7 linked regions of the Xenopus tropicalis genome follow. The protein of the gene in region 3 interacts with the protein of the main gene of each other region in a pairwise test. Links are inferred from orthologs where the notes say so. Each region holds a gene or a part of one and is shown on either strand. Other genes may lie near its edges.

What was found.
Region 1: the proteins of egfr (region 3) and map3k3 interact in a protein complementation assay, tested with the Homo sapiens proteins (3 studies listed by BioGRID and IntAct, with this or other methods). The link is inferred for Xenopus tropicalis from reciprocal best matches to the Homo sapiens genes EGFR and MAP3K3.
Region 2: the proteins of egfr (region 3) and lrp1 interact in a protein complementation assay, tested with the Homo sapiens proteins (3 studies listed by BioGRID and IntAct, with this or other methods). The link is inferred for Xenopus tropicalis from reciprocal best matches to the Homo sapiens genes EGFR and LRP1.
Region 4: the proteins of egfr (region 3) and grb10 interact in binary tests that used the Homo sapiens proteins (3 or more experiments, as listed by UniProt). The link is inferred for Xenopus tropicalis from reciprocal best matches to the Homo sapiens genes EGFR and GRB10.
Region 5: the proteins of egfr (region 3) and dctn2 interact in a protein complementation assay, tested with the Homo sapiens proteins (2 studies listed by BioGRID and IntAct). The link is inferred for Xenopus tropicalis from reciprocal best matches to the Homo sapiens genes EGFR and DCTN2.
Region 6: the proteins of egfr (region 3) and psma7 interact in a protein complementation assay, tested with the Homo sapiens proteins (2 studies listed by BioGRID and IntAct). The link is inferred for Xenopus tropicalis from reciprocal best matches to the Homo sapiens genes EGFR and PSMA7.
Region 7: the proteins of egfr (region 3) and ikbkg interact in a protein complementation assay, tested with the Homo sapiens proteins (3 studies listed by BioGRID and IntAct, with this or other methods). The link is inferred for Xenopus tropicalis from reciprocal best matches to the Homo sapiens genes EGFR and IKBKG.

What each region holds. Positions count from the first base shown.
Region 1 is NC_030686.2:17,076,905-17,080,404, forward strand, and holds part of map3k3 (mitogen-activated protein kinase kinase kinase 3), read right to left. Parts: intron 1,807-3,500; coding exon 1,685-1,806; intron 1,272-1,684; coding exon 1,231-1,271; intron 1-1,230. UniProt on the Homo sapiens protein: Component of a protein kinase signal transduction cascade. Mediates activation of the NF-kappa-B, AP1 and DDIT3 transcriptional regulators.
Region 2 is NC_030678.2:139,526,887-139,530,386, forward strand, and holds part of lrp1 (prolow-density lipoprotein receptor-related protein 1), read left to right. Parts: intron 1-395; coding exon 396-525; intron 526-667; coding exon 668-794; intron 795-1,338; coding exon 1,339-1,490; intron 1,491-1,815; coding exon 1,816-1,940; intron 1,941-3,243; coding exon 3,244-3,500. UniProt on the Homo sapiens protein: Endocytic receptor involved in endocytosis and in phagocytosis of apoptotic cells. Required for early embryonic development. Involved in cellular lipid homeostasis.
Region 3 is NC_030682.2:56,743,853-56,747,975, reverse strand, and holds the start of egfr (epidermal growth factor receptor), read right to left. Parts: upstream 2,801-4,123; 5' UTR 2,780-2,800; coding exon 2,695-2,779; intron 1-2,694. UniProt on the Homo sapiens protein: Receptor tyrosine kinase binding ligands of the EGF family and activating several signaling cascades to convert extracellular cues into appropriate cellular responses.
Region 4 is NC_030682.2:60,192,994-60,197,208, reverse strand, and holds the start of grb10 (growth factor receptor-bound protein 10), read left to right. Parts: upstream 1-1,415; 5' UTR 1,416-1,454; intron 1,455-1,948; exon of another isoform or gene 1,949-1,978; intron 1,979-4,215.
Region 5 is NC_030678.2:140,646,394-140,649,670, forward strand, and holds the end of dctn2 (dynactin subunit 2), read right to left. Parts: intron 2,568-3,277; coding exon 2,496-2,567; intron 2,022-2,495; coding exon 1,919-2,021; intron 1,735-1,918; coding exon 1,643-1,734; intron 1,185-1,642; coding exon 1,098-1,184; 3' UTR 501-1,097; downstream 1-500. UniProt on the Homo sapiens protein: Part of the dynactin complex that activates the molecular motor dynein for ultra-processive transport along microtubules. In the dynactin soulder domain, binds the ACTR1A filament and acts as a molecular ruler to determine the length.
Region 6 is NC_030686.2:4,411,868-4,415,889, forward strand, and holds the start of psma7 (proteasome subunit alpha type-7), read right to left. Parts: upstream 2,801-4,022; 5' UTR 2,742-2,800; coding exon 2,646-2,741; intron 434-2,645; coding exon 307-433; intron 13-306; coding exon 1-12. Other genes in the region: ss18l1 (calcium-responsive transactivator), read left to right, coding at 3,242-3,310.
Region 7 is NC_030684.2:25,684,685-25,688,939, reverse strand, and holds the start of ikbkg (NF-kappa-B essential modulator), read right to left. Parts: upstream 2,801-4,255; 5' UTR 2,602-2,800; exon of another isoform or gene 2,492-2,601; intron 1-2,491. Other genes in the region: g6pd (glucose-6-phosphate 1-dehydrogenase), read left to right, coding at 2,983-3,004. UniProt on the Homo sapiens protein: Regulatory subunit of the IKK core complex which phosphorylates inhibitors of NF-kappa-B thus leading to the dissociation of the inhibitor/NF-kappa-B complex and ultimately the degradation of the inhibitor.

The sequences.
Region 1 (3,500 bases), on a different chromosome or scaffold from region 3:
TATGTTATTTTTAAGGTTCCACATACCCTAACAATTTGATGAACAGACTGAACACAATTATTATTAATAATAAATGCTTTCCCATTTTAATAATGGAATAGGAGGCAAAACTCAAATAGTTATAACTATTAAATACATTTTACTGTAATACAAGGCTAACATTATTTAACATCAAAACAAAAAAAAAAATAGAGCAAAATAACAGAATTCAACTAATTTTGGAATAGCATGTAACACTCCTCTTAATCCAACACACAAATTTATAAAAGGGGCAATCACCCAGTCGTTTTCCCAATGTTCAGTAAGAAGCAACATATAGGAACTTTTATTATTAGTAACCAAGAAACCATATACCAGGACAGAAAACAGATGCCCAGTTTAACTATTCAAACCACTACACATCCAAGTGATGTTAAAAGCAACTGTGATTGCAAAGATGACTGCCATTACCCTGTTAGACATCCAAAGCATAGCTAGCATTTCTTCTGAAAGGAGAACTCAACCCTTCTTTATAGCTTGGTACCTCCAGAGCCCTCCCCCACATGGTGTACTTTGTATTTCTTAATTACACTGTTTATAATGTACTCTACCATTTACATTTTATTCTTGAACCAACAAATTTTCAAGATGCAATATTGGTGTGTAGCCAGTTCTACACATTAGAACTGTTTCTGCTACTCCTATGTAACTGGAGGAGTCCCAAGCTGGTCTAATATTATTTACTGCTGAGTGCTATTCTGATATCTACCCCTTTTTAGCAATACAGGTGTCAGGTAGCTGCTATCTTGCTCCCTTCCCATTGTTCTGCTGACCGGCTGCTGGGGAAGAAAGGGAGGGGGGTGATATCACTCCAACTTGCAGCACAGCGGTAAAGTGTGACTGAAGTTTATAAGTGTACAAGTCATATGGCTAAGGGGACATGGGAAAGTAAGGGAGTGGCTAGCCCCATGTGAAATTTCAAAATTAAATATAAAAAAATCTGTTTGCGCTTTTTAAAAAACAGATTTCAATGCAGGATTCTGCTGGAGAAGCTCTATTAACTGATGTTTGTTCATGACAATATTACTTTAACGTTTTAGAACCAGCTACAGAAAACAGGCTGTTTAATGGGTAACCAGTAGTGCAGTTCAGAAGAACTCTGGGGGGTTTTGTTCTCCTTCAAATCTGCTGGGACTGAAACACTTCAAATATTTGCATAAGTGCACATGAATAAAACAGATTTTGGCTTACCTTCTCTCCCCACTGTGCTCAAACTTTATTCTGACATCCGTCTGTAATATTTAAAACAACAATAAATATTAACAAGGCTGGAAGGGGCAACACTGACACAAGCAATGTTGTGTTGTTGTATGAAAACTACTGTCTTACATTCTGCAGCTTTTAGGCCTGCAAATTAACTTGCTATGGTAATTCAGCCCTAGCAACCAGACAGCAATTTATATGCCCCAGCAACTAGACAATAGTTTGTAAGTGAGAATAAAAGAATACCGCCTGAAAAGAAAGATAATCAATAAAAAATTAAGAATCATACAATAAAGCTTAACTCTCACGTTCAATACAATTATTGTAGCTGGGGGCAGTAAGCCCAACAACCAGAATAATTAGCTTATTTTAGCCTGCAGGCTAAAGGTTTCTAGTGCAAGTATGAAGACCTCATGCTGTAGACTACCATAATGGTACCCACCTGTTTATTGGGCTGTATGCTGCACTTTGTCTTTACTGCCTCAATTCCTGGTATTCTGTGCCTTCTACCCATCTGGAGGGCAACAAGGTCCTTCATAATGGACTTCAGAGCTTCCTGTTCGTCTACATTGAAGGGAGAAAAATTAGATTATTCTCTGCCTATGGGTTGGTATCCTACATACCACTTCAAACATGCTTCAAACATACTTCATGAGAGCACATAAACATATTGGCCAACAGTGTAGCATAACAGATATATTATAGGACACAAGACAATAGTACTCAAATCTTTGGGGATGGTCCCTTGGTTGTGAATAGTAGTGGGGGGGGGGGCAAAGATTTGTCAGTGTGAGAACTGGGGAATATTGCTAGATACCTAGATACTCTTGGATGTCAGGGTGCCTGGTAATGCTTTTCCTATACCTGTACAGTCTATCTATAGTGGGCTATCTAGTGTGTGCTGGGCCCCGTACATAACAATTGTCGGAGGGGCCCGGTGCACCGCGAACTCTACCCAGTCTCTTGATTGCCCACTTGTCGGTGCCTCCTGCGCCCCCCTCCCTGACTGCAGGTAGGAGAGCAGCTGGGGAGGGGGATTTCTTTACTTCTATAGAGGAAGCAGACCCCACAGTCCAGGCCCTGCCCGGTGCCTGCTTCCTCTATAGTTACAGCGATGTCTGTACTATTTCATTAGCCACGGTAAGCCTCTGAGCATAGGGGAATCACTTCACTCCAAACATACAGTGGGCTCTGTAGGAGCCACACAGCCAGTGAGCCTGGAGGGAAAGTAGTACTTGGCTTGGTATGTATATGTGTAGCATACAGAATTTGCACCTCTAAAAATAATTAAGCCCATCCCAAGAATCAGTACTCAGCATCTGATTATAACAGTCTGTTATGGAAATGTGAAGCATTAACATACAGCTCTGAAAATTTAAATTGCCAGTTTACCTTTAAGTTAAATTTTAATTTGTTATAGAATATCTCCTCCTGGCATTGCTCAGTTGGTCTTAGTTTTTTATGATTTTAATTATTTTAAACATAAAGCTAAATAATAAAAAAAAAAAAAAATACCACATCTAATTAATCCTTATTGGAGGCAAAATAATTATCAGGTTTAATTAACATTTAAATTATTTTTTAGCAGACTTAAGGTATGGTGATCCAAATTATGTAAAGACTGCTTATTCAAAAAACCAAAGGTCCCGAGCATTCTGGATAATAGGTCCCATACCTGTATATATAAAGTTCTGCATCAGTGTTTTGTGTGTGTGCGCGCACACTGGGGTTTTTTTGGAAGGGATGATTTTGATGGACCTTTGTGTTTTTTCAACCAACATGAATTATGTAACTATCACATAATTTAACTGCAATATAGCAGAGGCCAGCTGCTACCAGAATGAGGAGAGGACTGCTGTATTGTTTTAATGGAGAAGGAAACTCTCAAAGAATATTTGAAAAAAAGTTCAATCGCAACAGATAAAGTAGAATAACATTTGAATGTCACCATTAAAACACAAGCAAAGGCCACATGACAATGACGGCATCACGCAGGCTGGGTTTATCCTAGACTTTATGTACAAAATTAATACTGGCCTGGCTGTGAAGTATAAAGGTGGCCATACACTGTACGATTAGCCCACCTGGTGTGGGTGATATTGTGCTAATACGATCACTTAGTCCAAAGGGATATAAAATACCGAAGTGAGGAGGGCATCAATAAGCCAATGGGGCCTTAATCCAACAGAGAAATAAAGCCTGCCTGATCGACATCTGGCTGATCTTTGGTCGCCAGGGAGGCCTGTCAGAGGTCCCCG
Region 2 (3,500 bases), on a different chromosome or scaffold from region 3:
GTTTTTTTTCTGGGTCACTATCTAATAATTCACTCTATCATTTAAAATGTTATTCTTGAACCAGCAGATGTATTTTTAGTTGTAATATTGGTGTGTAGGGGCCATCTCAGCGCATTGTGCCTGAGTCTGAGCTTTCAAAAGAACTTAGAACTGCTTTCAGGTAACCTATTGTTTCCTATTGAGTCCCAAGCTGGACTTGGATTTCTTACTATTGAGTGCTATTCTGATACCTACTGGGAGCTGCTATCTTGCTCCCTTCCCATTGTTCTGGTGTTCGGCTGCTGGGAGGGGGGCGATATCACTCCAACTTGCAGCGCAGCAATAAAGTGTGACTGAGGTTTATCAGAGATACTTGAATTCCATGGTTATGATTTTGGATGCCCCTTCTTTTACAGGTAACATCTACTGGACAGATCAGGGATTTGATGTCATTGAGGTGGCTCGTCTGAATGGCTCTTTCCGTTACGTGGTGATCTCACAAGGGTTAGACAAGCCACGTGCCATAACGGTCCATCCAGAGAAAGGGTAAGAGTTATACAGAAATACCTGCTGTCCCTTGTGTCTTAGGCTCTGTGTTATATTCTAGCAATAATTAAAATATCTGTTGTTTTTTATTATATTGTAATAGATATGTTTTTTTTTTTTGCTTTGTTTTTTTTTTTTAAAGATACCTGTTTTGGACAGAATGGGGTCAGCACCCTCGCATTGAAAGATCTCGCTTGGATGGTAGTGAAAGGTCTATCCTTGTGCAAACTAGCATCAGTTGGCCCAATGGAGTCTCCATAGATTATGAGGTATGAAAACACTCATTATATATAACAGTACGGGTCTTACCCCAATCAGCCCCAAATTGTTTTTGTCCATATATAACTCCTTACAATCTATCTTTGACACTGTAATGGTAATGTAATATGATGATTTATCATAGGTTTGTTTCCCAAACCGAAAGAGCAAGGTAGAGATCATGCTATTTGGCTTCATGGCTGGTTAGTCTGACCTTATAGCAGTCTTGGAAACCAAGAAGTCTGTTCTTTTAATAATCATTTACACATGCCTCTGCCACTGGAGTCTTCATTTATATTAGTTTCTGATCATAAAGCAACTTGTTTTGTGGTAAAGACACAGGCAAATATGATCCAGTTTAGTTAGCCTTGTATTATGCTTTTCTGCAAACCAGTAGATCTCTTTCCTTATTCACAATATCCTATTTTGATGAGTTGTTTTAGTGAAATATAGAATGATAGAATCATAAAAGCTCATTAACAAAGAGCTAATCTCTGTACAGTAGTATTAAATAATTGTATGAGAAGTATTCAGTATCCGTTGCTCTCTGTACAGGAAGGCAAGCTGTACTGGTGTGATGCTCGCACTGATAAAATTGAGAGGATTGACTTGGAGACTGGAAAGAACAGAGAGGTGGTGCTGTCCAGCAACAACATGGATATGTTCTCAGTGTCTGTCTTTGAAGATTACATTTACTGGAGTGACAGGTGAGACTGCACATCTCTTGCTTCAAGGGATTTCAAATGCATCTCCTGAACATATGCCATTCACAACTCTTTAATTTACCCACTCTCTGCAACATCCCAAGGCGCTCTTGTTTCTAATATACTCTGTTGCAATGGAACAATTTGTAAATTTTCTATTTACAAATTTAACTGCAGTTATGAAATTTGTTATATTTAAATTATTTTTAGTAGACTTAAAATATGGTGATACGATGTTTTTTATTTTTATCATTCTTTACATAGCAAATCCTAGGCAAAATACTCGTTATTTCACTTATTGCATTCCTTGTGTGTGTCTCGCTTACAGAACACATGCCAATGGATCCATTAAACGAGGGAACAAGGACAATGCTACAGACTCTGTGTCTCTAAGAACTGGTATTGGGGTCCAACTGAAAGACATCAAGGTGTTCAACAAAGACCGCCAGAAGGGTATGTAGAATATATATAATGTGTAATATATGTAATGTACATATTTGTTCCCCTTTAATGAATAATTGATTGCAAAGAGCAATGTGTATTAGATGAACATGTGCATATTCACTGGTTTAAATAGGTAACAGGAGAAATGGGGAATACAAATGTGCAGCAGTATATACTTTATCCTGAATGCATTCCATTACGCACAGCTCATTTCTTCTGCTCTTGAGAGCATTTTAACATGATTATTTTGGCCACAAGCCATACCATACCAGATTATATCAGACTAGTCCTTATGAGCTTATACAGTATATATTTGGAAAACTTGAATTGCCCAAAGAAATGCATAGAGCTGTATTAACATAGTAACATAGTAAGTTAGGTTAAAAAAAGACACTGGTCTATCAAGTTCGACCTTATCTAATGTATCAGCTAGTACACCTGATTCAGGGAGGGAATTCCACAACTTCACAGCTCTCACAGTAAAAAATCCTTTCTGGACCATTCTGTGTGGAATGTAGTTGTGGGCAAGCACCAATGCACTATTGGCCCTGGGTCTTCTTCCATGATGTGTTTTAATTATAAACATGCATGGTAAATAACCCCATATGATATATGACAACTTAGTTTTTGCATCAGTTCAATATTATTTATAGCAGCTATTCACTATTTGGTTTTTACTTGACCACTCAAGTAAAAAGTTTGGTGTAGAAGCCCAGAATGTATCCCTTGTACTATATAACCTTCATAGATCTACAAACTGAAGCATTTAGACCTTACAGGGCCTCTCTTGCAGAACAGTTTCTGAGTTTATTATTTTAAAGAGGGTCATTTATTAAGCCACCCTCCTTCGCTTACATAAATACCTTATCCTATTTTTACTAGCATTTGCCTAGTACATATTTATATATAGAAGACTAAGATTAACCCCACCAACTGTAATTATATTTTAACCTCTTTCCTGTAATAATTGTTCCCATTTTATTGCTTGTGGGATCTCCACTGCTGAATCTTCTTGCTTGCCTGATCACTTTGGAAACTTGATCCTTAGTGAATTATAGTGACATTCGTAAAATCAGTCAAGCTAACAGATGATTATAAGCACTGTAGCTTTAGACCAGTAGCGCATGGCTCCGATTCAAGATGCAGGTTTTTCAGGTGAGCATTTTCAGGCTGCATCAGCTAGTGCTGGTACTTTCTGATGATTCTCTATGTGAGACAGCATGGGGTGATTGTGGTTGTTGTTCTGCACTCTGCCAAAGGCCTTACAGGGAACACATGTTTGTGTTGCTCAGTTTGCTTTTCTATTTAACAGGAACCAATATCTGTGCTGTGAACAATGGTGGCTGCCAACAGTTATGCTTATACCGGGGCAATAACAATCGTACTTGTGCCTGTGCTCATGGGATGCTTGCTGAAAATGGATTAAACTGCCGGAACTATGATGGCTACCTATTATACTCTGAGCGAACCATCTTAAAAAGTATCCATCTCTCTGATGAGAGTAGTCTCAATGCGCCTGTGAAACCTTTTGAGGACCATGAGCACATGAAGAATGTCATTGCGCTAGCA
Region 3 (4,123 bases):
CAGCAACTTGATTCAAACATGGAAACTGAACTCCAGCCTTGTACATTTACTATGGTTTCAGTAAAGAGGTCAGCTTGCTTGATGACTGTTGCCTTCCCCTGCTAGACAAGGTAGGTTTTCAGATTAGACAGAATTCCATAGAGATCAGGAAGTGTTGGTCCAATTGTTTTTCCCTGCTGTAAAACTCGTAAGTGATATTACACAATCAAAAGTTTAATTACATTAGAACCATTAGAAGAAATGAACAACCATGATACTAAATCATCACCTATGCTCTGTCCAGGCATGAAGATTTAAAAGTGTATGATCAAGTTATTGCAGGGAGCTTGGTTTTAGTTTTATCTTATAAAATGATTAAATGTGGCACAGTTCTTCGGGCTCACAAATACCCACAGTCATACAGTGTTCAAAGGCATAGCAATTCTTCCATGAAGTTCTGAAAGTTCTACCCAACTCTCTATGCGTAGTAGAGAACTCTCCTATTGTGCCAGCCAGCACTTCTGTATATCAGCCATCCTGATGTTATCTAACATATGAAGATTGATATGCAGTTTTGGGCTGCCAATATTGCACTGTAATTAAACAGATGGACTGACGTAATGTTTTTTTTTGTTAGGCAGTAGAAGGAAGCTGTTTAATCCATCTTTGGCCAAACACATAAAGCAAAAACAGGGAGTCAGGTGCACAGATACCAGGCAGAGGTCTTACTGAAGGAATGTCATAAATATATCATACACACAAGTACAAAAAATCCTTTGGCTCCAGGTAAATATCAGTGTGATATCAGCAGCAATGACATTTGTACCAATTTATATAAGACAAAATATTATGTAAAGCGGCTGAAATAAGTATAAAATATGCAAAACACAAACATTAAATAAAGGTTTCATTGAGATTTGACATGTATTTATTTATTTATACATTCCATAGTGGAATGTTTGTGGCACCAACAGAATTTGCAACCACTGTGGCAGAAGGAAATAAAAATTATGGTGGGGGGACAAGTTTAGTCTAAAGCTGGCCATACACTCACTGATAATATCGTACGAAACCCCGTTTACATTGTCACATTTATTCAGTCGAACTGCACACCTGGAACAGACTGAATTCTATTGCCCCAAGTCAAGACTTCAGCATGCCCACATGACAGAACTGTTAAAGTATTGTTATTTTTACAGTACAAAGTGCAATGTACTAGAACAAATACAAATCTGTGCTTGTATAGCAAGCTCCTGATAAATTCTTTTCTAAAAAGGGTGGGGAGCCAGCATCTTAGCCTTAGTAGTTATTTAGCGGATCCTATTAACTACACACATGACAGTATATGTTAACCATCTGTGGTCTGAAAGAGCGTGGTAAAACAAATTGCTCAGAAGTCAGAGAAGAATTTCACCCACCTACTTATTTATAAAAAAAAAATGGGTTTTGTTCTTAATGTTATATAAGCTACAACACATAACTGAAAACAGAGGCAAGATCAATTTCATTAAAAAAAACAAAAAAAAAATCATTGTTGGACAGTAGCATAGGCTCCCATGAAATGTCACAGATATTTTATATTAAGTCCAGATGCTGGCGTTTTATAACTATACATACATTCACTCACCAGTAAGCCTGCCTCTCTATATATACTGTAGATATATACATATTTAAACACTTGTTTATCTGCTGCATCAATCAATCCATCAAATGCAAATAAAACTGTTGTAAGTTATGTAAATAACTGTTTGTAGTTTTTTTAAGTTCCTTGCTCTTGCCTTATGCCCTGTGTGTGGGTTTTGAAGCTGAAGATGAGTTCCAATGAGGGCAAAGTAACTTAAGTCAGAAAAATTATTCACTATGCAAGCTTTTTATCCTTTGAACATATTTAATATAGGGTTTGCAAACCAGCTAAACTATTTAGCAACCCATATAACAGTACAAAAATACTGTGCAGTTTATTGTTTGCATTAGTGCACAGTATAGGTTATAAAGCTTCTTAATTAAACAAAAAAAAATTTGCACAAAAAATATGCCACCTTGCAGCAGGTCTTACAAATGTGTTATGTGTAATTAAAAGTCACAATGCAATATTTGTCTAATGCATAATATTGCAATAATAGTCAAATAATGCATTGCTGAGCACACATTTTTGTTCTTATTTATGCAATTATACCATAGGATGATTTTTATTACATCCACCCACTAAGTATCTCTTTTATAGAGGTGTTTCTGTAACCATTCTACAAGGACATAGTCACAAGTTTATACACAGGGTGACTACAAATGTACACAGCTCACACTCCAGGACAGTCTCTGCCATCACAAAAGCATGTCTTTTCAAAACACAAGACCAATTTCTCAGGATAATTTTGTAATATTGCTGTCACAGCCCACTGAAGGAAAGGGATTTACTTTCTTGTGTATTTCCTGTATCCTTATAGTTCCCATAGGAGGCACAGGGAGTCCCCTTGTCCCATATTCAGACCAGAGGAGGATTACCTGTATCCAGCCAGGTAGGCTCACCCTATACTCCTGGCTACACTCTGTAGGTCACAGGAAATCAATAAGTGGATGTAGAGAGAGGCAATTCACTAGCCAAACCAACACTGCCACTATCAGAAACGCAGAAAGTCTGATAACCCTTTGTGTGCCAGGGCTGGCTTCCCTACAGGCACAGAAGCAATGAAGTGGCAAGTGAATTTCTTTCCTTACCTTTCTTTTCTTCCAGAGAAAAGCAGGACTGACTGACGAAGAAGACGCAGATATATAATCCCACACTCCGGCTAAAAGACCCCATCCCGAGTCTTCAGCTACCCCCAAGAACAGAAATGAGGATGGATCCTTCCTGCAGTCCTGTGCTTTATCTGCTGCCTCTGACACCGGTCTTGTTTCAGTGACCCAAATCCACAGAACGCCTCACATCCATTGTGAACACGATATATACCCACGGGGGAGCGGAGGGAATAGAAGGAAGCTGAGAGCGTTGGACTCCGAGCTTATTGTGGGGCTCTCTCACATGAGACAGTCCAGTGTCTTCTCTTATCTGGTGTATGGAGAAACAGCAGGGAGTAAACGAAGTGCCAGTGACAGGAACTGCTTATCCCTATTTCCACACTCACTTCCCAGGAGTTGCAAAACTTTTGACAGAACGAGCCGGTCTGTGTGAGTCCCTCACGAAAAGAATCTGGCATGTTTGGCTGCTGTGACATCACGGAGAGGTGTGCCTCATTCCACTCCCCCTCCCACAGCCTTCCTCACACTCCAGGACGAGCCGAGCTACGGGCATTATTATCGCTCACTCCTGGCAGAGCTTCATAGGAGCAAGGGAAGCAGCGCCACCTATTGGTCACAACAAACACAATAGGAGACAATTCGCGCAATAATGCAGTTCACTAGCAAATCAGCAGAATCGTTTATATTTATGAGCAAAATATAATTTTGTAAATGCTGGAGTGCTTCAAAAAGTAAAATGGAAGCTGAAAACTACTGCTTGACAAATACATTTTGTCAACAAATACGTTTTAACAAAGCTAAAGTTTGTCTTTCTGCGATGGGCTGTAAAGCACCACGTCTTCCGCTGTCACATGAAACGCCAGATTAGAGTGTTCCAGGGAATCAAAAATGACACCTGTGACTGTTTGGATCAATGCGGTGCATATTAGGTGTCTAGATAAGAAGTTACCATTTAACTTCAAAATTATGGAACGTGTCAATAAAATCCAGGGCTGCAGTGATTGCAATTAAATGTAACATGTATAGGTGTCCCTGAAATTTCATGTGATCTGGTAACCCTGTGTTAAACAACTGAGCCCCCAGCCCTCCTCCAGCCACCCAGTAAAAGCTGGTAAGAGGCAGATGCCTTTTATGAAGGGCATAGAAAAAATCAAAGGGTCCTTCACTGAGCAGCCAGGATGGACCAAGGGATAATGTGGAGTTGAACCTCAGCTGACAGAAGGGCTGCTGTGAGATGCTATAGAGCAGGGATCCCCCGACCTTTTTAAAAAAGTGTTGGGGAGCAACACAAGCATGAAAAATATTCCTGGGGCTGCCAAATAAGAGCTACTTAAAGGAGAAGGAAAGGTTAAGTCACTTGGGGGTGCCAAAATGTTAGGCACCCCCAAGTGACTTAAATTGCATACTT
Region 4 (4,215 bases), about 3.4 Mb from region 3:
GTATTTTGTAATTTTGTTTTCCCTACAGCACTTGTGTGCTCTCCTGTATGTATGTTGCTTTCCCTCTCGCTCTCTTTCTTGGCTTCTCTCAATTCCCTCTCTCTCTTCTTGCCCGGAGTCTTGTGCACTCAAAGTTCCCTCCTACTTGCTCGCTCCCGATTTAGTAGCAGGGCTGAGAGGGAGGGTTTAAAGGCCCTGGGGTTGGGAGCAGGGGGAGGTGGTGCTATTGCATCCTGAGCAGAAAAGTCAGCTGAGTGTATAGGCAGTGCATGAGCGCAAGAGGAGAGAAAGCCCGCAGGAGAGACCTATAGGAATCCGTGGAGAATAGGAAGATCTTTTGAACACAGAGGATACAAATCTGGGTGCAATTTTTCCGAGCCAGGCTTTTTTACGCATCCACCATCAAGTTTATTTTTCCCATATTATGCGTTTTTTCTCATTGGAGTTTCTTTATGGGCAAGCCAAGGATTGTTGGAAGGAGCATGGTGTTTAGATCCGCATAGTGAAGTTGGGCACATAAAGAAAACTCCGTGGAAGTAGAGAAGGCAGAAAGAGTGGCCCATTGAGTATCAGCAGCCCATCATTTGCTACAAAGGGTCTCTTTGTAACCAAGGCCCATTGCACTCAGGACATCAAGCAGGTAATACTCACTTGGAACTGTGTGTATGCATGTGTCTGTGTGCAACTGCCTGTGGGATTGTTTGTTTTAGTCATGATCCCCTTTAGTTTTTCAGCTGAGTCAGACATGCTTCCACTTGGGGGGCAGCGAGGAAGTGCGCTGCAGGGGGATAAAGGGGTGGAGAGAAGACTTTCCCAAATCCAACCCTGTCCTTTGGCGCTGGGAAGGGGTTCCCTGTGTGTGTGCGTGCACAGTGCAGACTTGCAAACTAATAGGACGTTCTCCCCTCGCACTATCGCTGCGAGTACACTCCCCCCACCCCTCCTCTCATAGTTGTGCTCCTTGCTTTGAGTGGAGTGTGGGAGTTGGCGCAGAAAGCGCTGCAGCTGAGGTGAACAAACCGCTTGTTGAATTGACGGGACTGTTTGGTGGGGATGCGGGAGGAATGTTTTATTTCACTCTAACACCCCGGGCAGCTTGATTGAAATGGGATTTCTGTTAACTAATTGAGTGTAACTGGGATTAGAGCGATGCCCTTCCCTCTCCTGGTGCCCAAGGGGCCTACAGCGCATTGCTGTGCGTATGAGCGCTGCCCTACCGCTGCCAGTGACAGTGTTACGAGCACATGCTGTGTCAGTGCAGAAGTTTATCTGCCAAGTCATACTCCCTAAATGGCTCTTCCCACAGCTGCTAGCCACGTTCTCACTCCGGTGCCCTGGACTCTTGTCTATCTGGCGTGAGCTCTTGCTCAGCTTAATGCGATGTGTACGTGCTTGTAGTTGTGTGTGCCGCGATGGGAGCAACATGTGCCGCTGCTTGCCCAGTCAGGCACCAGGTAACTGTCTGCTGCACACTCGGCCTCTTTATAAAAGCCCATGCAATATGACACTTGGCTAGGAAGGAGGGGGACTCCCTTTTGCCTGTGTCGGTAGCCTGTAGAAATGAAGCGCACTTGTTTATACTACCCTTGTTTGCACTCCCACCCACAGCCCCCCTCTCTCTCTCGTTTTTTAATAGTTATTAAATCCTCCTCCTTCACAATAAATACGACCCACCTCTTTATTTCAGGAAGGGAGTGAAAGACTTTTTTTTCTGTAAAGAGGTGGGGAAGGCTGAGTGGGAGTCACCCACATCTGAGAGGTTTATTTTAGTCATTTTCAATGATTGTCCCGACTGCCAAGTATTTTCCAGCAGCGCCCCCCCCCTCTCCTCTCCTCCTCCTGAGTAAGGGGGTAGGGAGGACGAAAAGTAGGCAGGGCGCTGGCGGCAGGGAGCTGATACGATAATAAATAGAAGGAACACGCGTAAGGCGAGGCTCAAAACAAACGTGGCTTTGCTGCTGCGAGTAGCTGGGACACCGTAAGTTGAACTTAATGTTACGCGAAAGCTTTCAGACACTCAGTGAGGGCCAAGCACAGGGATTTGACAGGGAAGGCTCCTTTCCTTCCTCTATATACAAATGTGCGCCACACGCTTTGCTTAGTAAAAGTAGCACAGGGGCTTCAAAACATTTCTCTGTAGCTAAAGTCCAGCACTCGACTGAAGGTGCCAACTGTCTGTGATTTCCAGGAACAGTCCCCTGGAAATGTTCCTGGCGTTTCAAACCGGTCAGCTGCAAGAAAAGAATTTGAATAATCTTAGTAGCTGAAGCCAGTTCTCGGCGCTGCTCTCCCTCAGTAGCTTGTTGTTTGTGAAGACGCAATTTTATTGTTACAACTGGGGGCCCGTTGGTGGGATGGGGCCCTCAGGGATTTTTTTTTTAATGGCCTTTGGCATGCACAAAGGTTCCTTGGATTTTTTTTAACAGTCCTGGGAATACATACATGGTTTTCTTGATTACTGCCCTAGGGCATGAAAACAAAAGTTGGACAGCAGTATGGAGTTGATTTTGCACATTAGGCTACTTTTGCCAGTTTTTGTGTCGTGAGGCCACTGGCAGTGCATCCCTGAAACATTTTTATATGTTAATAGCTTTTCCGACAGCTTTTCAATAATCAGACTAACATTCCCTGCCTGGGGTTACTGATTCTTACAGTACAAATGATAAACTTTAAATTGCACAGTCCCATACAGGAATGGGACCTGTTATCCAGAATGCTTGGTAACTTGAATTGTCTGGAAACCCATTATCTAGAATGTTCAGATTACAGGAATGCCATATTCTATAGACTCCATTTTAAGCAAATAATTATAAATATTAAAGGAGTAGGAAAGGCTACATCACTGGGAGGTTCCAAAATGTTAGACACCCCCCAGTGACTTGAATCGCTTACCTGAAACACCCAGCCAGTGCTCCTGTTAGGAGAAAACTGCACCGGCTAGGGTGTATGCATGCAAGCGTTCTTTCAATCTTCACGCATGTGCAGTAGAGTGAAAAACTGACTTTAACAAAAAAGCCAGCTTTTTCACTTAACTGCGCATGCGTCGGCCCCGGGATTCTGAAGCTAGAAGGAAGAGGAACGCTCACTCGCATATACAATGAGCTGATGCAGTTTTCTCTTAAAAGGAGCACCCGCCAGGGGTTTCAGGTAAGAGATTACAATCACTGGGGAGTGCCTAACATTTGGCACCCCCCAGTGATTTAGCCTTTCCTTTTCCTCTGTTTGTAATAAAACAGTACCATGTACTTGATTCCATCTAAGCTGTATAAATCCATACCGGTGCAAAACAGTCCTATTGGGTTTATTTAATGGTTAAACGTAGGGTGATTCAAATTACAGAGAGACCCCATATCTAGAAAACCCCAGGTCCCATGCATTCTGGATAATGGATCCTATACCTGTACATATATCCCAAAAGTTGACATTTGCAAGCTCTGTTACAGAGGAAACAAGGGCTCATTTAGGAAAGTTAGCTAGGTACAAAGTGCAAATGTCCTATATATATATATATATATATATATATATAATATATATATATATATATATATATATATATATATATATATATATATATATATATATATATATATATAATTTTTTTTTTTGGATTGTTTTGCATCTCTGTATAATGCCCAAGTATGAATGGTGTATAGGCATAATAGTTGTGTTGGGTGTCCACATCTGTGTCATTACTGAGTAGCACCGTGTTTGTCATGCATGGGGAGGTGGGTCTCTGAATTTTGCCTGCACAAGGTGGGTCTGAAGTACAGGACTCTGTGCCAGAAGTTTAATTGCATTTTGACTATATAAGTGCCATATAAAGTGCCACATTATTTTTTCGCAAACTGAGGCCTAGGGCATTGTGTTTTGCAGGTTCTTAGTGTTTTGCAGGTTCTTAGTGTCATTTTAAACAAATTAATCACAAATTATGTTAGGATCATGTATAACAGCAGATGTGTTTTTATTATTATTATATTATTATTATTAACATTTATTTATAAAGCGCCAACATATTCCGCAGCGCTGTACAATAAGTTTTTCTTTTACAAACTATATAACTATCATCTGTCCGAAGAAGTGTCTTTTATTCATTTTTTTTTTTTTATTTAAAGGAGAAGCAAATACTTATTGTAGAGCGCTGCGGAATATGTTAAACACCCCCCCAGTGACTTTAATTGGTTACCTTTTACCCCAGGCTGGTGCTCCTGTTAGGAT
Region 5 (3,277 bases), on a different chromosome or scaffold from region 3:
CTTTTCATTTTTTGGTGTTACTGTCCCTTTAAGATCAGAAGGTATATATACTTAACAGCCCGAAAACCCAAAAACATGCCTCGGCACCTTTCTCCGGCTTCGTTACTGAGTGCAACTATAGAGAAGTGCAAGGGGCCCATTTTGATATCTTTAATGATCGAGGTTCTACGCACAACTGACTGGTAAAGTGTAGGCATCACAACTGCACTTGTGGATGTACATGAACCCTAGATTTTTTTTTTTTTAAATAGGAATTTCTCCCCAAGTAAATAAATACAACCAATGTATAGGGTACCTAAAGTTTGTGGCTTCTAGAGACTCTGGAATAGACACTGTATAAGCACACGGTCATTGCTGGCATTTCTGCCCCCGCAGTTAATCTCAATTGTAACCCCACAGTGTAATATATTTGGAAAACTAAAAAGAAATACAAAATAGGTGAATATGTCTTTGTAACCAAGACCCAGTAAGACAAAAAAAACCAGAAGAGCACATTCATATTTTTGAAAGATAAGTTTTATATAAGAAGCAGTAAGAGGCTATAAAGTCTAGGGAGGTTAAGAAGTAACTAACAGAATTTACTAACAGTAATGATCAGGTGGCAGTTAGAGTAAGGCATTGTCTCATGACATCAATGCTGTTAAGGTGGCATTTAGCCTCTTTTTTTTGCTGGACGTTGCAGTATATGTAATGCATTGATGGTGGCTGTGTAACAATAGAAAGAGGACAAGAACGATATACATACATAAATAAAAGGTCTATGGATGTTCTCCTCAGACACTGCAGGTGGCGCACCGCATGTACCGGGCATGCAAACATGGTAGCTTGAAAGATACACCATATTCCCTAAGAGATCAGATCTGACACAGCACCTGATATTAAGGGTGGAGTGAGTGTCCGTGCATGGGCAGGTACAGGAGAAGCCTCTAAGCATTCTCAGGAGAAACGGGGGAGGAGAGAGAGTAACAAGACATAATATGTACAATGGTAAAACCTCTCTTGGTTGGGGAGGGAGTTGATTTCTTAGTGCAGAGTCTGCAGAAACTCTTGTTTCCTTGGTATTATAGGGAATGAGGTTTGTGGTGAAGAAGTGCAACTCATTTACTTAGTTTCTTTATTCTCGCATCAATACTGGTAAAATTGTCTTCCACTGTGGCCAGGTTCTCCTTCATGGCCTTCTGGACCTACAAAAGAGCAATATCCATATTAAGTGTGCATGTAATTTGCTTTTGGATCAGGCCCAACACAGCACACTAATGCAGCCTCCATAGCACAGACCTGAAATTTGCCCACAGAACTGTACTACAGACACAGTTGCAGACTTGTGCAGCTATATTCATTAAAGCTAAGAAACTCTTACAAATGGAACAGACTGGTCTGTCAACTGCTCCCCGCCGACTGGAAAGGGAACTGCATAGAACCATGGGTGTTTCTACAATTCCCGTTCAAATCAATGGAGAGCGGTTTCCCAGATTTCTGTCAGCTATGGTGCCTGGCTAACAAAACACCTGCCATTGCTACCTGGGCCACTCTGATTACAGTTAATAACCTACAAGGTCAGAGAAATAGTGCTGCTTAGAAAAAAAGAAAAAAAAAAAAAAACACATTTTGGGGGGAGAGGATGATAAAAGCAATAACATACCATAGCTAATGCATTGGTATTGTCCTTCAAAGAGTTTGATATCATCTGCTGTGTAGTGTCCAAGTGGGCGAGAAGCTGTCCGAACTGCATGGCTGAAATAAAAAAGTTCGGGGGGGTTACATAAAGCAGACGCCATACATGAATGATCAATAGAGCAGTCGCACAATTTAGTTTGTTATATATGATACACAGTCCATTAAGTTGTTCTTTGCACATATGGACTAAACTCCTGTAACAGAATACACACACAAAGGAGACAGTTTCCCCTTGCAGTACCTTGCTCGTGCAGCTGCTTTAACATGAGCAGCCTCTGGACAACCTGCGGCAAGGTGCTAGACATGGAATCCCACTTCTGCACGGTCTCATAGAGCTGGTGCACCTGGGGCAGAGAACAGAAGCTGCATGTTACAAGAGGTATACGGAATGACTGCCTTGGATTTGGAGTGGTCGAGAAGCTGAATACAACAGGGGGAAAACACAAATGAACCTTCTTTACAGGAATACCATGCCTTCACATTTCCCCCCCTTTTTTATTTTTTTACATTTTTTCCCATTAAAAAGGTTTTTCTCAACTTGAAAAAAATAAGACTAAATGCAAATTGTTTTAAAATATGGCTGTCGACATAAAACTAATGGGCATCACGTTGGTGCGCTCTCCAGCTAATCGGTTCAGTGGCTGAACAGCCACTGAAGAATCACTTCCAGGCAACCAGAGACATCATCCAATACATTTGAATGTATTATTCTGTATTTACAAGCAGAGAATTGCAACAGAATAGTTTTCAGTGATACAGCCAAAAGTATAAACTAGTTACCTGCGGAGAAGTTGGAATTCCAATACAAATCCTTTTACCTTGCTTTCAGTGTCTGCATCCTCAATGGCCGCTTTGTGCTTAGCGATTTCATTCATTTTCCCTAAGACACTCTGAAAGAATAACATGGGAGTGAATATGAGTTCAACAAGCATCGGTATTAAAACATTTCAAGTTTCAAATAGAGAACAGTGGCTTGGCACAGATCTGTCTGCTACTGGGTTTGTAACGTGAGCACAAACCATGAGTTTGGTCAGAAAGGTATTTTAACTTTTTTACATTTTATGGAAACATTTTCATTTGTAATTCTTAGAGCAATAAGTATGGCACAGGTTAGGATGAGCAACAACTGGATAGCACTGGATGCGCCCTGCTCATGATGGGACCAGCAAAGCAAATCTAGACCGTATCCTACTTTATATAAAGAGCTCAAAGCACTTTAACAGTACAAAAGCCATTAGATTTTGGATATCACTGCCAACAGGTTCAGCAAGCTACTTATAAATATAAATATATGTAAGAGAAACAATCTTATCTACTAGGCAGAAAAGGTAGCCTCCACCTTATAGACTGGGCATCCCACAGCCACATGTACAGCTATAGTGATGATCCAATGGGAGGAATGACTGGGTATATTAAAAAGAGAGTACTGCAAGGAGGCTGCTATGGCCCCAGGTTAGGGTTTTGGCAAATTCTGATTCCAATTTTCCCAGGCTTATGTAATCCAATAGGTTAAGTAGTACCCACTGACCCATATGTAAAACTCAATGGATATTATAAACCGTATATGGAATTGCCATCTCTTGGCGCAATCACTACTGGA
Region 6 (4,022 bases), on a different chromosome or scaffold from region 3:
CAGCTGTGAGACCTACAAATCAAAATAACTTTATTCCTATTACAAGAATCAAAGACAATCACCTTATCTATGGGGGCATTTATGCATTAGGGGGCCCCAATGACAATTAGAAGCCCCTAATGCCTATGGGAGCAGTTCGGGACAGCCGGCAGTACATGGCAGCCAAGATGGCGGCACGACCCAGTAGCAGCCAAGCGAGAGAGGGGGGGGCTGCTCGGGATAAATAATGACTATTAACACTTTGGCTTTACTTGTCCTTTAAGCAACTTCCTATAAAACAAGCGGTTGCCCAGATGCTTTCAGTACCAGCAAAGGCCATAAAGACGTTTTCATCCAAGGCGCAGATTTTGCGCACCGTCCTCTCATCCTGGAGCTTCGCTACCGATTTCTTTTCCACTCCCAGAACCACAATCTCCTTGCCACGAACGCCAACCTGACGGGGACAGAAAGGGGCAACTGAGCCATCATTATGTATATGCTCCCACCCCCCAAGGGGCCCCCCTTCTCCATCCCTCCCTCTGGGAATTGCTTCCCTATTCTCCCCATTATGGGGGGGGGGGGGGGTCTCCTTCAATTTTTGTTCCCACTGGGTCCTAGTTTCAAACCTTCCCCCTAGGGTCCCTTTTTTCAGGTTCCAACCTTGAGTCTGGGGGAGGAATCCCAATTGCACTCTCCATTTCTCCTCTCAAACTCAGGTAGGGGTCTCTCCCACTGGAGCAGTAGGAAGTATAGAGGGGCCTCTTCTATCATATCTCCCCACCTATATGAGGGGTCTCTTCCACTCAATCATCTCCCCCCCTCCATATCTGGGGGGTCTCTTTCATTCTATCATCTCTCCCCCTATGTAAAAGTGATCTTCCACACTATGACATCTCCCCCCCTTATCTGAGGGGGGGGGGGGGTCTCTTCTACTCTATGATATCTCCCCCCTTCCCTATGTGGAAGCTCTCCCCCTATCTATGGGGGCCTTCCATTCTATCATCTCTCCCCCTATCTATGGGGGCCTTCCATTCTATCAGCTCTCCCCCTATCTATGGGGGCCTTCCATTCTATCATCTCTCCCCCTATCTATGGGGGCCTTCCATTCTATCAGCTCTCCCCCTATCTATGGGGGCCTTCCATTCTATCATCTCTCCCCCTATGTATGGGGGCCTTCCATTCTATCATCTCTCCCCCTATGTATGGGGGCCTTCCATTCTATCAGATCTCCCCCTATCTATGGGGGCCTTCCATTCTATCAGATCTCCCCCTATCTATGGGGGCCTTCCATTCTATCAGATCTCCCCCTATCTATGGGGGCCTTCCATTCTATCAGATCTCCCCCTATCTATGGGGGCCTTCCATTCTATCATCTCTCCCCCTATCTATGGGGGCCTTCCATTCTATCATCTCTCCCCCTATGTATGGGGGCCTTCCATTCTATCATCTCTCCCCCTATGTATGGGGGCCTTCCATTCTATCATCTCTCCCCCTATGTATGGGGGCCTTCCATTCTATCAGATCTCCCCCTATGTATGGGGGCCTTCCATTCTATCATCTCTCCCCCTATGTATGGGGGCCTTCCATTCTATCATCTCTCCCCCTATGTATGGGGGCCTTCCATTCTATCATCTCTCCCCCTATGTATGGGGGCCTTCCATTCTATCATCTCTCCCCCTATGTATGGGGGCCTTCCATTCTATCATCTCTCCCCCTATCTATGGGGGCCTTCCATTCTATCAGATCTCCCCCTATCTATGGGGGCCTTCCATTCTATCATCTCTCCCCCTATCTATGGGGGCCTTCCATTCTATCATCTCTCCCCCTATGTATGGGGGCCTTCCATTCTATCATCTCTCCCCCTATCTATGGGGGCCTTCCATTCTATCAGATCTCCCCCTATCTATGGGGGCCTTCCATTCTATCATCTCTCCCCCTATCTATGGGGGCCTTCCATTCTATCATCTCTCCCCCTATGTATGGGGGCCTTCCATTCTATCATCTCTCCCCCTATGTATGGGGGCCTTCCATTCTATCATCTCTCCCCCTATCTATGGGGGCCTTCCATTCTATCATCTCTCCCCCTATGTATGGGGGCCTTCCATTCTATCATCTCTCCCCCTATGTATGGGGGCCTTCCATTCTATCATCTCTCCCCCTATCTATGGGGGCCTTCCATTCTATCAGATCTCCCCCTATCTATGGGGGCCTTCCATTCTATCATCTCTCCCCCTATCTATGGGGGCCTTCCATTCTATCATCTCTCCCCCTATGTATGGGGGCCTTCCATTCTATCATCTCTCCCCCTATGTATGGGGGCCTTCCATTCTATCATCTCTCCCCCTATGTATGGGGGCCTTCCATTCTATCATCTCTCCCCCTATCTATGGGGGCCTTCCATTCTATCATCTCTCCCCCTATCTATGGGGGCCTTCCACACACTGGTACCCCCCCTGCCTGCCTGGTCTCTCCCGTTCCCTCTCCCCAGTGGGTTTGCTACTATTCCATGTAACCCGGGGGGGGGGGTCCCACTCTTTCCCTGTCTCCCCCTGCCTGGGGGGGGGGGCTACTTGCTTCCATCGCACTGGGCCCCTGAATGGCCCCTGAATGGCCTCCTCCATTCCCTCTCCCTGTCCGGCCATGGGGCCACCTCCCTCAGTACTCACGGCTGTGGATCCTTTCTTGACGGCCTCCTGCGCATATTCCACCTGGAAGAGGTGCCCATCCGGGGAGAAGACAGTGATCGCCCGATCGTAACTCATGTTGGCTCCGAGGACAATCCGCTCACAAACCGAAACCTGCTCAAAACAGCGCACTCATCCCTCTCCTATTCACTAACCTCACTTCCGTTCTGCGCAGGAGCCGCCTCCCCTGCTAACCACACTGTCTACGCTACGCAAACTGCGTAAGCTTAACTCCTCCCCCGGGATTCTGCCTTACCCGGCTCATGAGACAGGAAACCCGGCTAGTGGATCCAACCATTCTAGTGGGGGGGTGGGAACCTCATCAAAGCGCTCATTTCTCAATTGTGTCAAACTGTTCCATCATCGAATCGATTTTATGAAACATGATAGATGTAGCTGTGTAGCAATAAACGTATTCTTTAAAGTGACAAGCAAACGATGTGTAAATGGGTTATTCCATTGACAAGCACTCCCCCCCCAGTCTGCTGCAGAGAATGACAAACCTTTGCCTAGTAATAGGCAGCTGATAATAAGAATATTCTGTAATAATTTATCCACTGAGGAGCACAGGGGCCATCATGTCTGTGGCCTTTGCATCAGCCAGACCCAGAGGCAAGGGAGAGATCACCCAGCAAACTATTCAGAAGGTACTGATCTGCATGGGGAAGGGGGGCTGGGGGCACCTGGGTTTATTATAAGGGGAGGTGGGAATTAAATATAGCCCATGTGTCATACATAATGCAGAGGGCAGAAAATGGGCAACAAGGATCCCCTGTGGGAGGGGCAAGAGAATTTACAGTCTGAGCAAATATGCACCTCATTCATCTCTATATATATATATCAGAATATTTAGTCTCCATGGCAGCACCATGCTTGGAATGTAAATGTCCTTAGAGATGCCATTTCTTAGAATGATAACAAGGGCAGATGCATCCTGGGGGGGTCCCTCCATCATTACCCCCATAGGGAGAAGTAGTAGCAACTGGCACACACTGTGTATCATATAAATATATATATATATACATAGTATTGTCTTTTACCCACCTAAATCTTCCTCCCCCCCCCCCAGTTCCGCTCTGATCTCCACTGATGCTGAGAGTCACTAAGCACAATCCTTAGAGAGGGATTAATGCAGTGACGGCCAGGACAGTTATGTAGTAGCTGAGGCTGAAGAAAGACCTGCATCCATTCAGCTAAAGCTCCCTAGCTGGCAGGCGATGCAGAGAAAGGGCAATCTGTCGCCTCCTTGCCCCTGAATAGAGGGGTATTCACAGGGGTGTAACAGGGGAGTCTGTAGCTGCTGGGTGGGCTCTGACTTTCTGTGAAGTTATACAATGTATCCGCCGGTACAACTGCTAT
Region 7 (4,255 bases), on a different chromosome or scaffold from region 3:
TACCCTAGAAACCTGGCAGTGGTTTGAATAAAAGACTGGAATAAGAGGAGTCTGAGTAGAAAGATAAGGAATAAAAAGTAAAAAAATAACAATAAAATTGTAGCCTCACAGAGCAATTGTTTTTGGCTGCCACAGTCAGTGACCCCCATTTAAAAGCTGTAAAGAGGCAGAAGGAGGGCAAATAATTCAAACATTAAGAGAAATAAATAATGGAGACCAACTGCAAAGTTGCTAGGAATGGGACATTCTATAACATACTAAAAATCCACATAAAGGTGAACAACCTCTTTAAAAGTAGCTTTTCATTTATAGCCTACAAAGGCATTTAGGGAACCTGAGTTTCAGAGACTACACTGAATATACAGGGGTGGAAATTCCCCATGACACATGGGAAAATCCATAGGGCCAGTAAAAATGTTTACCCCACCCCAAAGGCTAGTTATTTGGTAAAACCAGACTGTAAACCATAGTTACCTCTACTAATAGAAAAAAAGAACATAAAAACATAAAACATTATAAACAGATATAGACATCCAACCATAAAGCAAAAGTAAATAGGAAACGGTTTAATAGAAACCAATGACCAGTTCTGAATACCAGAGAAAAAGGGAAAGTCCTGATGACATCACATAGTATATTGGCCAATTATATCTCTCCCATGTTATCAGAAGGAATAAGGAAGTAGTTGTGAATGTTATTGGAGAGACAGCGATAAGAAGGAAGCAAAGAGGAATGCAGCCCAGGTGATCAGTGTCTGCTGTTTGGGATCAGAGCAAAATTACATAATTACAATATGGGATTAAAGGACAATTAACACCAACATTTAATTATTACCTTTCTTACTTTTTATAGTGTCTGCATATTCTGGAGCACTTAAAGAGATTATACATCATTTCCATTAGTTCCTGCCCCAGTGGAGTTTACAATCTAAGGTCCATTTCATATTCCAATCAGCCCCTGCCCAGTGAGCTTGCAATCTAAGGTCCCTATCACATTCTCATCAGTCCCTGCACAGTGAGTTTACAATCTAATGTCCCTATCATATTCCCATCAGTCCCTGCCCCAATAAGCTTACAATCTCAAGTTCCCATCAGTCATTGCCCAGTGAGCTTACAATCTCAAGTTCCCATCAGTCATTGCCCAGTGAGCTTGCAATCTAAGGTCCCTATCACATTCCCATCAGTCCCTGCCCCAGTGAGCTTACAATCTAAGGTCCCTATCTTATTCACACACATTAGAGTCAATTCTATCAGAAGCCAATAAACCTGCCTGTATGTTTTTGAATGAGGGAGGAAAGCAGTGCAGAAAACAGAGAAACTCCTTGCCGACAGTGCCACCTGCACCCTAGGGCACAGCACTGCCCATAATTCCCTTGTTGCTGTGTGCATGTATATATGCCCCTTTATATAGTTTACCATAAAATTATTTGGACTGCTTTGTATTGCAATTGCAGTCTGCCAGACTATCCTCTGACCCCAATATAATGCAGCTGGTATCTCCATTGCCAATGTGCAAGTGGGCAAAAGGGGCAGATGTTGCACCCCTGTAAATCCAGCCATTCACAACACTGCCTATGCAAGCCGACTAACATAACCTGACCACCAGTGTCCACATGACAGGCAGGCTTAAGGTGGCCGATTGTAGCTGCCGATATCGGTCCCTTAGACTGATTCGGCAGCTTATCGGCCCAAGTAGGGGCACAAACGACAGGCCTGCCCGACCGACATCTGGCCTGAAATCGGTAGATATCAATCAGGCAGGTTAAAAATTTTAGTCAGATCGGGGACCGCATCGGCTTGTTGATGCGGTCCCCGACTGAATTAGCCTGAATTCACCCGATATTGCCCACCCGTAGGTGGGGGATATCGGGAGAAGATCCGCTCACTTGGCGATCTCGCCAGGCACTTTTAGAAAATATGCACTGCATCTGCGCCACACACACGCAGTTGGGTCTATTTTTGGCAAACCTAACGCAACTGTAGTAGATGAGTTGCAATTGTGTCAAGAGAATCATCAATTTGTGATTGCAATGACCCCGTAATTCTGGAAAAAAACAGTGCACTGTGGGTAAATTCCACTTTATGCCCTGCGTTTAGGTAAGTGAATGTGACCTATGGTGTATACAAATGCTGCTACTGACAGCTTGCTGTCTAAGCTCTCCTCCATTCCAAATCTCCCTGATTCCCCCTACACTTCACATCATCAGGTACAATTGGTTTTTTAGAGGTCTTTTCATTAAAATAGAGCACAATCAGCTGACTGTCCGACATACCCTATTGCTATTCTCTACACTGCTGGTTCTGACAACTGAAACCTGCATGAGCAATGACTATACACAGGAAGGGATACATACAGCTACCGAGTGCATTTACAAATAGCTGTAAAATCAGTGAAAACGTTGAATGCATGTATGGGTTAGCTGCTTGTGATGTTCTGCTATGGGTGCTGGATCCGACACCCATTCTATTAGTATAAAACCACTTTTAATTACCTACTGTGCAGTAACGCTTAGAGTCTCCACTCACTGTCTCAGGGTCGGCTTCCTCCACCCATTCCTTGAACAAAATGAAACTGAAGTCCAGGTTCTGTCAAGACACTTACCAAAGTGTTTTTGTATCGCTTCCGGGTTCGCTTTCCGTAGATGGTCCAACCCCAGGAAATGAGGCTCACGCTGTTTGACAGTATTGTCGGAAGTGGGGCAGGAGTCCTAAACCGGAAATGAAGCATGGCATGACTGCATTGGATTAGAAAAAAATGTAAGCGGTAAAATGTGCCAATACTCTCCTGATGGCGACCTTCGGCAACATCCCCTCCTTTGATTGGCTGTTTGCCGCTTTTCTCTGTTTTCATTGGGGAACCGTGCTCATGCGGCGCACCTCATGGCGGTGAATGACGCAAGCCACGCCCATGTGGTGGCTAAACCATTCTCTGATTGGTGGAGCGGCGCCGGGGCTGGGTGTAACGCTACAGAAGTAGGCAGAGATGGGGAGCAGTCCCAGTGTGGGTGAGTGAGGGGGTGGATCTCTCACCTGGTGTCAGTGTTCCAGCACTAGAAAAATGTGTGGAAACCTGTTCTCTGTGTGTGTGTTAGTTATAGCGTGTGGGGGGTAGCGGCTACACGAGTAGCACACAGCCTGCTTACACGCTCCGCAGCATGCTTCTTTCAATGGAGAAATTACTGCCATAGAACTGCCACACGCGTCTCAATTAGAAAACCAAATCTGTTAGTGTTCTAGAGCGATGAATCCAGCTGCTAAAGCATTAGGTTTCATATACACCTGTATATATGCATGTCAGGAACCCTGAGCTATATTCTACTATAATGGGATTTTACCAGGGGCCACATTATTCTATATAAGTATCAGTGGGTGGTGCTGTGAATGACATCACTAAGTGCTGATTATAAACAATGACATCACTAGGTGCCATATCTGTATATGAATATTTTTACAGGTTAATCATTGCTCTTGTATGTGTTTAATGTGTGCGCACGTAACTCTGAAATTCATATTGGATCTATGTATATTATATGTATGTATAAGTGATCCATAGTTGGGAACTGTTCCTAATGACCAGGCACTGTGCCAGTTGCTGACCAATTGCAGCATTTTGTTATTCCAGTGATAATAAAGCAATTTTTATGGTTTTCTCTTTCATTTCCCTGCAGAGTCCTCCCTCCTGACCCAAAAACACCTATGTACCCCAATAGGCAGAGGAAGTCATATATATGGCAGCTGCCAACCCTGCTGCTCTACTCTGCCTTAAATCCTGATGTACGAGGAAGCATAAGGCTGGAACTAGGGCTAGGCAGCAGGGGCATGTGACTCAATCACAGTTGGGGGGCACAGGCTGGACTGGCATTCAGGGCCAGAACTAGGGGTAGGCAGAAGAGGCAGCTGCCTAGGGGGCAACGATTGAAGGGCGCCAGGCAGGAGCCTCTCTTGCCTACCCCTAGTTAGTGCTCCATTTTCATTACCCCTGCCGCGGTGGGGGCAATGAACTTTCACATCGCACCCCCCCGCCAAAACACACGGGGGGTGCAATGCAATAGTGCAGGGACTAGGTGGCCACCCGGGTTGCCTTGGGTGGCCGGTTGGCTCAGTCCACCCCTGCTGGCATTCCAAGTACACAGAGGCCCAAACAGCCCCCACCAGCCCAATAAATAGTGACTGGAAGAGCGGGAGCAAGCAGTGGGTGGCTGACCTGTAAATTGAACTGAAGTGGGGGATTGGTCCAGTTAGACAAGGGGGCACAT